3 linked regions of the Macaca fascicularis genome follow. The protein of the gene in region 1 interacts with the protein of each later gene in a pairwise test. Links are inferred from orthologs where the notes say so. Each region holds a gene or a part of one and is shown in the gene's direction. Other genes may lie near its edges. The genes, in order: ZMYND19, ENOX1 and TNFAIP1.

Region 1 (3,656 bases):
AGTCGCCCCTTGCGGCAGGGTGAGGCCTCCCCGCGGGCGACCGGACACCGGCGGAGCAGGACACAGGACCTAGCCCCGTTCGCTCCAGGCTGCAGGGGAGGCCACGCTGCCCACCACGGCGTACCCAGTCCCTCCCTGAGCGGGCCTCGGCATTCCCGCGGAGCCCAACCGGCCTCACTGGAGTTCCGTTTCCAGACGCCCTGGACCAGGCTGCTCCGGCGGTCAGCCGCCCCCGGGGCTGAGGAACCGGCGGCTCGGAAAAGGCTGCGGGGGAGGCCGCACCCTCCGGGTCGCGTGGGCCGGGCGTCCGCGGTCTCTCCAGGAGCACCCGCGTCCCGCGGCAACGGCCTCTTCCTAGCCCGCCTCGCCCGCTCCCCGCCCACCCAGCGGGCCCCACACGCGCTCCGTCCGCCTCCTTCCGCGCTTGGGGCCAGGACGGCGGCGGGAAGCAGCTTACGAGGGCCACTGCAAGGGAGGAGAAGGGCGTCCAGCTCGCAGAGCGCCACAGACCCGGCGCGAGTCCCCAGCCGCGCTCCGCACGGCCCCTCCAGGAGCAGCGCGGCGGCCCGCACAAAGCTTCCCGCGAAACTGACGTCGGCGCGCGCAGGCACCGCCCCCGACCTCGCCCCTCCCCCGCGCTCGCCCCGCTCCCCAGAGCGCCGGCGCACTCGCCCTCCTCCCATTGGTTGCTGCGGCGCGGCGCGCTCCGGCCGGCGCCGTGCGCGCCTAGCGATTGGCCGAGCGGCGGCGGGCCGGGGGGTGTGTCCCGGGCTGCGCCCCGCCCCTCCGCTCCGCTCGCTGTGGTGCGCGCGGTGGCGGCGGCAGCGGCGGCGGCGCGTGGCAGGTCCGGCGGGCGCGAGGCGGCGGCGGAGGCCCGAGCCCGGCCCAGCCTCGTCCCGCCCGGGGCCCGCCTGGCTGCTACCCCGACCCCGGCTCCGGTCCCGTCCTGCCCCGGCGCGCCGCGGCCTCGCCCCGGCCCCCGCCCGGCGCCTCCCGAGGGAGCGGCGCTGCCGGCCGAGAGCGCAGGCCCGGCCATGACCGACTTCAAATTGGGTATCGTGCGGCTCGGCCGGGTGGCCGGGAAGGTGAGCGGCGCGGAGCCCGCGGCCCGGCCCGTCTCGCCCGTCCTGGCCTCCGCGCGGGGCCGGGGGCCGGGGCCGGGGGCGGTTGTGCGGGCGGCGGCCGGGGCGGGGGCGCGGAGCCCGGGATGGGCCCCAGCGGGGCGGGGGACGCTGCGCGGGCCCGGCTGCTGGCCCCGCGCGGGTGCAGCTTCCTCTCGCAGGCCGGCGGGCGCGCACCCCTCGGCGGCGGGGCGCACCTGGCCGCCCTCGGCCCTGCCCTGCCGGAGGCGGAGGCCACGGCCCTGTCCCGAGCCGGGCGCGGAGATGCGTGGCTCGAGCCCGGCCGCGTTCTCCCGGAGCCCTCCCCGTGGTGTCGGGGAGCCGGGGCCTAGCGCGGCGTCCGGGCTGCCGGTGCGGCCACACGGTTTAAACACAGCGCCCTTTCCGAGGCAGCGCCACCTCCACACCTCTCGCCGAGGCGGGTCTGGTGTGGGCTCTTCTCTGCCTCCCAGTTCTCAGCAGGGCTTCGGGCTCGTTTTAACGCTGCCAGGGGTTGGCCAGGTTAGGCAGAGCCTCGGGCTCACAGCAGAGAGGAAGAAGCCTGGGCCCTGATGCAGACTCAGGGCCTTCCTCGATTTCTCTTCTCACCTGGCCCCCACGCTGCACGTTTGAGGCTGGGGATTCCATGGCACCTGTGGGCACTGAGGCTTGGCGGTTTCTCGGAGCCACCTGTGCAGCTGCACCAGCCGGGGTCCTTACCCGGATGGGAGCCCTGTTGCCGTCACCAGCGGCTGCAGCTTCTGGTGGGAGAGAGGAGCGGAGGCAGTGTCAGGCGGCGTCAGGTAAAACAGGTTCAGATCCCAGAAGAAAAACTGCCAAGAGGGATACTGGCCCGTTCTGGGACCTGTTCCTGTTTCCTGCCCCTGCTGCAAGAGCATAGGCAGGGCCTGCTGGGGAGGAGGCTTTTTTCCACCAGGGAAGGGTGGGCTCCCCAGTCAGGTCAGAGACCTGAGACCCCTTCTGATTCCACCACCGATGACATTGTCATCCCTTACAGCTTTTCTTTGGAACATTTCAGATGGACAAAAAACTGAAAAGGGCAATTCAATGAGCAGCTCAGCTTAATAAACACACCCTAATCATAACCTTCTGGCTCTTCTGCCTCAGCCCTGGACCCTCCCTCAGCTCAGTGAAACCGTTTCTGCCTAGGTTTATTGGTGTGTTAAATGTTCCGTGCCACTGTTGGGGTTAGGCCTGCGAGGATGAGGCCTGATACCAGCTCCTCTGGAGCAGATGAAAGTGGTCTGCTGTCTTTTAACCAGTCTGCCTGTGTTTTGGCGTAGACTGCACCACCCCAGATGGTGGAATGAGGCCCCCGTGTGCTGAGCTGTCTTGGTCTGAAGAGGCCTGTGGTTACTTTCCACTTCACAGGAAAATGCAACAGGCTCCTGCCTGTTCTGGTTATAAGGTTACTGCACCTCACGCAGATCTCAAATGTAATGATTTGAAACATGTGGTTAACTTTCAGACCAAATACACGCTGATCGATGAGCAGGACATCCCGCTGGTGGAAAGCTACTCCTTTGAGGTAAGTAAGGATGCCTGTTCCTTCCCTTAATGCTTGTGGTCAGTGCCCAGGAGGGTCACGAGGAGCGAGCCCTCCCCTGTGCTGCAAGAGCAGGTGGCCCCACAAGTGGACATCTGGGGCTGGCTGTGAGCCCTGAGCCCTCAGCCCCACATGGAGCCGTGGCCCCGCAGAACCTGGCTGTTGCTCCCACTGTGGCCCACGCGGCTTGGCGACACTGGTCTTTCCTCACTTTCACCTCAGCTGTTAGCTCTTCTTGAAAGCAAATGGAATGTTCTCACGTTTGCGATTGTGTCACGTGGACCATGTCTGTTAGCTCGAAGACCTTGTTCCTTAGAGCTTGCCACCTGCTGAGCCTGCGCTAGCCCCTCCTGGCTGCCCAGCTGCCTCCCGTTCTCTGCTCTCATGGGGTCTTCCTGCCTCTTCCCAGCTTCCGTTCCTGCCACTGAGCTTGGCCTCCCTCACCACACTTTATCTCTGTGCCCCACACATTCACAGTAGTGACTTGTCCAGGGGTTTCTCTATCTCACTGCACTGTGGGCTTTTTTCAAGGGTAGGAAAATGTATTTGTCTATGTCCATTGTATTTTGCAGAGTTGTTTGTGAGTGTTTCTTGCCTGGATAGACAGAGTGGTGGTGGGGCCACGCTGGCCCCTGGGAGCCATGTGCCTATGGGAGGCTCTGCACTCCCCAGGGTCTCAGGGACAGGGCTGGCATTTGTCCCTCCTCTGGCTTGCTTGTTTCACTTGGTTTTTCTTTTTCTTTTTTTTTTTTTTTTTTTGAGACGGAGTCTCGCTCTGCCGCCCAGGCTGGAGTGCAGTGGCCGGATCTCAGCTCACTGCAAGCTCCGCCTCCCGGGTTCACACCATTCCCCTGCCTCAGCCTCCCGAGTAGTTGGGACTACAGGCGCCCGCCACCGCGCCCGGCTACTTTTTTGTATTTTTTAGTAGAGACGGGGTTTCACCGTGTTAGCCAGGATGGTCTCGATCTCCTGACCTCATGATCCGCCCG
Region 2 (3,648 bases), on another chromosome or scaffold:
AAGGAGGGAATAGGTTAGGAGGTAACACTTAATAAATTCAGTCAGGACCAGTTCTCCTGCTTGACAACGATTTTCTTATTAGATAGAAGGCCTGCCTGCTCAAGAATTACACCTAGAAACAGTAAGCCAATTAACTTGTTTTACCAAGAGAGTATTACTGCTTTGCCTCTCAGCCTTGTGACTTAACTAATGTTGTTTCACTGGGAGAAACAAACAATTCTTCAATTTTTTTCCAGGGGTATCTCCTTAATAGCATGCTGTGTATAATATAAACTACATGTCATTAAGTTTTCTCCCAGAAAGTATTTGGAAACACTTTATGTTTATGTCTGGAGAAAACATTGCTGTAGATTATAGTTTTTTATTTTTGTGTAGTTTGGGAATGTGCTAAATGAAGCCTCACATCTCCAGAAATGTGATTTTCTTTAAAACAAACACCCTTGCCTATGAACTCTAAATCATGGTTTGTTTTTCCCCACAGCAGCTGATGGTTTGGGGAGTATAGCAATAGACACGACCCAGCTCAACATGTCCGTGACAGATCCCACAGCCTGGGCTACAGCCATGAATAACCTGGGCATGGTTCCCGTGGGGTTGCCTGGACAGCAGCTCGTGTCTGGTAAGCTTTCTCCTGGTTTCAGAGATGCTTGCAGCAGTCCCGAAAGGTGTAGGTGACAAGTGCCTGGTAATCTCTCTGCACTGCGAGTGTTGGACATGGTCTTTTATTTATGACTGGGGCATGTTTGGCAAGTTGTACTTGAGATTCTTTTCCTCATCACCTTTCTCTTGTACCTAATAGCTGTTCTCAGAAAAAAACATGCTAACTATTATTGCTATACACAGTCTTGCAACATCAATTGCATTTCTTAAAATTGGTAAATAGAATGGCTAATATTTGTTTTCCAATTTGCAAAACTCATTCACCTATATTATCCCATTTGATTGCACTGTCTTCCCTTTATGATAGGTAGATATTTCTTGTTATTGCTCTTGTTAATGTTTCCATTTTACAAATAGAGAAACAGAAGAGCAGAGTTTAGGTATCTTTTCCACATTGAAGTGGCAGAGCTATAAACAGCTCAGGTGACACTAAATTCCCTGTTTTCTGTCCACCACATGGTGGAATCATAATACAATGCAAGCATTCAGTAGAGAAAATGTTTAGAAATATCACAAAGTCAAAAGTCATCTAAAAGATTTAATCATTGAATTTAACAGGTGTTTGCTGAGGATTTTACATGTGCCCTGTAAAAAGTGCTTTGAGAAACAGAATAAATATATATGTATATAAGTGTCTTTGAAGATCCTTTCTCTTTAAATTGAAAAAACAAAACAAAACACCAACACCTGAAAAACAATGATAAAAATGATGTGTAGAGTCAGGTGTGTTAAGTAGTGGTGCAGACTGGTAATGTAGTAATCAGATCAGTCACTGGGGCTTTAAGGAAAGATGTTATCAGGAAGCTGGGGCTTGCGCTAAGTCTGGAGACATGAGTAGGATTTATATATGCACTCACTCATTCATTCATTCAACAAATATTCATTGAGCCACTGTCCTGGTGCAAGGGCTCCCACAGTAAACAAGACAGGTATGGTCTGCCCTCTCAGAATTTATAGTGGAGAGGTGACAACCAGGCATTATGCAGTAGTCATTGTTATAATGGCAGAAGAAAACTTCACTTTTGGCCATCAAGGTAGGTGAGGGTAGATGGTGTTCATTAAGTAGAAACCAATCGCTTTTGGAATGTTGCTAAATTTTACTCCCACATACCTGTGCACTTTATGCTGAGTTGACCAAGCATTTGTTTTTTGTTCAATAGTGGCCATAAATGAAAAATTGAAAATTAATTATAGTAATATATATGTGTGTGTGTGTATGTGTACATGTGTGTATGTGTATATGTGTACACATACATACACACACATATATATATGGTTTCTTTTTTAATATAACAAGAAAGAACATGAAAATGGATAAGAGACTAGGGAAAGTAGGAGACAAAGGAAATACAAAGGCTGAGTTTTAAAACATTACATTTAGGATATTTATTAAAGTCTTCAAAATGCTATCAAATTCATACAACTGAAGATTAGTCTGCTCTAGGGAGGTGGGTATACATAAATGACATTTTCTATGGCTTGAACGTGTGTTTATCCCAGGCCACTTTCCCCTAAAGCTTACCTAGACAGATACTTTCTTCTAATAACTTGAGAGTAAAGATTTCTATTTTTCCACCCAAGTTTCCCCAGTTGCCTAATTGAAATATTCAGAAAGCAGAAGTAAGTTACTCTTGTCTCACCTCCTACTTCTCTCAGAAAATGTTGTACGACTTCTAGAGTAAGCCAAAACCTTCCTAATTCATTATTTTTTTCTTGTGATTTTGAGTCTTCTGACATTTTCACTGTGACCAATTTACGATTTTCCCAGCAACTTGCCATGAAAAGAATTACAGCCCTACTCGTTATAGAAGATTTACCGTATCTGCCTGAATTACTTTTTCTATCTCCTGTGTTAGCCAAATTGCTTAAACTGTTTTTGAGCCTTTCAGGGTCTTTCTGGGCTTTCCTTCATCATTTACACAGCCTGATAATTTAACTGCACTTTGCTTTGTTCTCAGGGCCACCAGCCAACTGTTTTAACATCTTACCTAAACAATTATTTTTTTATTTATTTATTTTTTTTTTTTTTTGAGACGGAGTCTGGCTCTGTCGCCCAGGCTGGAGCGCAGTGGCCGGATCTCAGCTCACTGCAAGCTCCGCCTCCCGGGTTCACGCCATTCTCCTGCCTCAGCCTCCCGAGTAGCTGGGACTACAGGTGCCCACCACCTCGCCCGGCTAATTTTTTGTATTTTTTAGTAGAGACGGGGTTTCACCGTGTTTGCCAGGATGGTCTCGATCTCCTGACCTCGTGATCCGCCCGTCTCGGCCTCCCAAAGTGCTGGGATTACAGGCTTGAGCCACCGCACCCGGCCATCCTAAACTATTTTTCCATTGTATTCTTTTATATTAAAATTTTTTAAATAATTCATCAACTCTCCAGATTACTTAACCATTCTACTATTTACATTTAGGCTGTTTTCATTTTTTCACTGTTAACTAGCCAAGTTTCCTTAAAGAACTTAGTCTCCCTGAGCATGCAAAAACATCTTACCTTTTCTATAAAATGGTGATCATATCTATTTCATGGAACTGCTGAGATTTAAATGGGATAATTTATATAACCTCCATCTGGTAAGCATACATTAAATAGTCTTCTTACTCCTTTGTTCTTATTTCTTCCTTTCTCCTTTTTGCTTTTTTAAAGCAAGTAACATTTTCCTTTAAAACATTGCAGTAGACATTTTTATGGATGGGGCTTTTTAGCTGTTAGAATTATTTCCATTGGATAGGCTCCTACATGTGGAACTAGTAGGTCAAAAGAAATGAGCATTTTCAAGTTTCTTGCTGAGTACTGGTCGATTAATTCCCAAAATATACATATGGACTTAATATTTACTAATTTGATATGCAAAAATGGCATCCTATTATTTTATCTTAAATTATTCTATAACTACCCTTGTTTATTTCCTTATTCTCCTTCATTTTCTATTCATATTTTCTCTTTTGCAAATAATTATTCTCTGATAAATGGATACTTGGTAATTTTGT
Region 3 (3,748 bases), on another chromosome or scaffold:
AGTAAATGCGGAATGAATGACCGTGGAAACAGGAGACCATTACAGTAACCAAGGCTGGCAGCTGAAGACAAGTGCTCCGAGTTGAGATGTTTTGTAAGTCGAGGTGATTGGGGCTTAGTAATGGACTGACTGAATGTGGCGGTTTTGGGATAAGAGAAAAACAAGTCAGGCATGACTCCCATGAATCTGGCTTGGCCCACCTATCTGATTGGAGGGGCTGGCTTAAAGAGATAGGTAAGATGGAAGAAGGGGTGCAGGGAAAGAGTTCACAGATTCTCTACCAACTCCCATCACACGCGTGTCTGAGCATCTGAGCAACACCTGGCCCAAGAGCTGGGACTAAGCTCCCTGAGCATGACGCGGTGGCATAATTTGTGTGGCCAGGCTCTCCCAGATGCATGCGAGGCACTGCGAGCAGACTCTTTACTATGTAAATTCCCCGAATTTATCCGAGCCCCGTTTCCTCGTAAGATCGTGGCAAGCATCAACGCGTCAAACTCCAGGCCTAACCTGGGTGTGAAAGCGCCCCCTGAGAGTGGGGCGGAATTCCCACGTCTCTCTCCGCCCGGGCTCTTTCCTCAGGACGCGGGCCTGTCAGGCTCCTCTCGCCCCTGGTCCGCCCGCATCCCCCGACCCGAGGTCAGCCTACCTGCCGGCCCAGCGGCGGCAGCGCGCTGCAGCCTAGGCTGATGTAGACAGGCAGCTTCTCCCGGGTCAGCGGCAGCCGGTACCCAGTCAGCCTGCCACGGCCGCTGCCACGGCTACAGAACCTGTTTACCCATGACGTCACTACCTTCCTGACCCCGGAAGCACTTACAGCCCCGAATCCACAGAGGTTGCTGGGAAACAGAGGCCCGAGGGGAGGTCGGGCCTACAAGACCCAGAAGCCTTAGCGCCGGCAAGGCGACCGGAAGTGGCTTTCCTCTCTCCGCGAAGACCCTCGGGGGATTCCGCCTCCACCCTTTCCCGGATAGAGCGCTATGCATGCAGGGACTTGTAGTCTCAGGCTCCCCGACCGGTGGGGCTGGGCCGCACTCCGGGCGGAGTCGGCGAGCGCAGGATGTGAGCTCACAGCCCGGGACTGCTGGTGGGCAGGCGGCTGCAGGCTAGGGGCGGCTCGGAGTCCGCTGGCCACCCAGCTGAGAGGAGAGGCGCCCCCGGGGACGGTGAGAGCCGGGCCCGCAGATGCCCTCGGGGAAGGGATGGACGGCCCCTGCTGGAGTATAGCGAGCCCGGCCGGGTCCTGGGGAAAAGGCGCGGGCGGCGTTGGGGAAAAGGAGAGCTCTGATCTCCCACGGAGGGTGGGCGTGAGAATCGGTGTGGGTTTCTCGGTAGTGAGGAGTGGCCCGGGCTAGAGAAGAGCCCACACCGGCCACATTTCCCAGGATTTTTTGGGTGACGCTTAACCTTTACACCTAGGGTTTCTGCTAGATCCGCCCACTCTAGCCCTCAGCTTTCCCCGCGCCGTCCTCCGTGTCTGACGGATTTCTGGGTCCTTCTTCCTTTTAGACCTCTCCTCTTTCTACAGCCGCGGCTGTTTGCCCTTTGTTCTGCTTGGGTTCCCATTAGCTTCGTTGCGTGAGCCATGGATCCGCCCCTAGCCCCAGGCATCCCCAAATATCCACACACAAAGTGCGGAAGGAAGAGCACTGTGGCTATCAGTGGAAACTTCATTCTCACTGGAATTACTTTCTGGGGCGTCACCTGCCACAGGATTCCTGGAACCCATTGGTCTGGGCGGAATCTGATTGACGTCATCCAGGGGCTCAAAGCAATTGCTTTGTAGGAAAGGAATAGATTAACTCTGGATCCGCCGACCTCTCTTGGCAGGCCTATCCTTTGAGCTCCTTTGCATTGACAGAACATGTATGTATGCTTTCTTTGATCCTGGGAAAACTAGGGCTAGACACAAAATACATAGGGAACTTGCTAATGCCTGTTAGGGAGGTGGATTTATTCCTTTGAGGTGGGCGGAAGAAGGGAAGGTGATCTCATACCATTCTAGTGTTTCTTAGTCATTGGCAGCCTCCTGGTGAGGGTTCACCTCCCATACCCAACCTCTGTGGCAAAGGAAAGAGTCTCCCAGACAAGCCGCCAAAGGAATTCACTGCTTCACACAGCACCCACGCTGGCCGTCCACTTCCTTGGACATTCTTCCCAGGGACTTACCTAAATCTTTTCAGGGACAATTTCAATCCAACAAACTGACATATGTTAAATACTTAAAATGTGCATGGCATTGTGCTAAGCACCATTAGGGGAACACAGCAGTAAACTTAGGAAACCAGTGCCCTGCTTCTGGGTTGCACTTACAAGAGAGGAGCAACTGTAAACTCCTGCATGTAATGAGCATTCGGTGAAATCATTCCACTTTTTTTCTGTCTCCGTTATTACTAACGTGGTCCAGGCCCGCCGTCATCTCTTCTTGCCTAGACTACAGTTTCCTCTGGTCTTCCCACTTCCTCTCTTGCACCTTTACAATTCATTCTCTACCCAGCAGCCGTTATCTTTTCAAAATACACTACAAGCAAGTCAGATCATATCACTCCTCTGCTTGCAACTCTCCAATTGATTCATATATTATATAGCAATAGGCCGGGCGCGGTAGCTCATGCCTATAATCCCAGCACTTTGGGAGGCCAAGGCGGGCGGATCATCCGAGGTCGGGAGTTCAAGACCAGTCTGACTAACATGGAGAAACCCCATGTCTACTAAAAATACAAAATTAGCTGGGCATGGTGGTGCATGCGTGTAATCCCAGCTACTCAGGGAGGCTGAGGCAGGAGAATAGCTTGAACCTGGGAGGCGGAGGTTGCAGTGAGCCGAGATCGTGGCACTGCACTCCAGCCTGGGCAACAAGAGTGAAACTCTGTTTCAAAAAAAAAAAAAAAAAAAAAAAAAAATATATATATATATATATATATGTAATAGCAATTAGTATGAAATCCACACTTTGTTATCATCTAACACCTGCCTTCCCTGACTTGACATCAAACCAACTTCCCCCTACTGTCTGTGCACCAGCCATTATGACCTTATTTCTGATCCTAAAACTTGTTTTTATTTTGTTGTTGTTGAGACGAGATTTCCCTGTCACCCAGGCTGACCTGCCCAGGCTCAAGCAATCGTCCCACCTCAGCCTCCCAAGCAGCTGGGACCACAGGCATGAGCCACCATATCTGGCTAATTTTTTTTCATTTGTAGAGACAAACTCTCACTGTTGCCCAGACTGGTCTTGAACTCCTGAGCTCAAGCAATCCACCCACTTCAGCCTCCTAAAGTGCTGGGATTACGGGTGTGAGCCACCACACTCGGCCCCTAAAACTGGTTTCTAACAGGAACTTTGCACTTACTCTTCCATCTGTGTAGAATGCTCTCTTCAAACCTCAGCTGAAATGTCACCTTCCCAAAGATGCTTACCCTGTCCCTCTGTCTAAATTAGTGCCTCTCCCTAATCACTCTCATGTCACTGTTTTATTATCTTTATTGCATTTATCAGGTTCTGGAATTATCTGTTTATTTATTCAAGTCCTTGTTTATAGACTATTTCCTTCCACTAGAATGTAAGCTCCATGTGGACATGACTTTCTATATTTGTTCTCTTCTGAGTACCCAGTGCCTGGCACATAGGGGTACAATAAATGCTAGCTCTCTCTCTTTTTAAAAATTCCTGTTATGATGCTCCTTTGAACTGTTTGAAGGCAAAGACAATGTTTTTTCATTGTTCCCTATTGCTTAACATAGTAGG

What was found.
Region 2: the proteins of ZMYND19 (region 1) and ENOX1 interact in binary tests that used the Homo sapiens proteins (3 or more experiments, as listed by UniProt). The two-hybrid records come from large-scale screens. The link is inferred for Macaca fascicularis from reciprocal best matches to the Homo sapiens genes ZMYND19 and ENOX1.
Region 3: the proteins of ZMYND19 (region 1) and TNFAIP1 interact in binary tests that used the Homo sapiens proteins (3 or more experiments, as listed by UniProt). The two-hybrid records come from large-scale screens. The link is inferred for Macaca fascicularis from reciprocal best matches to the Homo sapiens genes ZMYND19 and TNFAIP1.

The regions. Positions count from the first base shown.
Region 1 is NC_088389.1:1,725,153-1,728,808, forward strand, and holds the start of ZMYND19 (zinc finger MYND domain-containing protein 19), read left to right. Parts: upstream 1-788; 5' UTR 789-1,034; coding exon 1,035-1,085; intron 1,086-2,589; coding exon 2,590-2,649; intron 2,650-3,656. UniProt on the Homo sapiens protein: May be involved as a regulatory molecule in GPR24/MCH-R1 signaling.
Region 2 is NC_088391.1:22,692,537-22,696,184, reverse strand, and holds part of ENOX1 (ecto-NOX disulfide-thiol exchanger 1), read left to right. Parts: intron 1-481; coding exon 482-619; intron 620-3,648. UniProt on the Homo sapiens protein: Probably acts as a terminal oxidase of plasma electron transport from cytosolic NAD(P)H via hydroquinones to acceptors at the cell surface.
Region 3 is NC_088390.1:33,796,968-33,800,715, forward strand, and holds the start of TNFAIP1 (BTB/POZ domain-containing adapter for CUL3-mediated RhoA degradation protein 2), read left to right. Parts: upstream 1-1,070; 5' UTR 1,071-1,166; intron 1,167-3,748. UniProt on the Homo sapiens protein: Substrate-specific adapter of a BCR (BTB-CUL3-RBX1) E3 ubiquitin-protein ligase complex involved in regulation of cytoskeleton structure.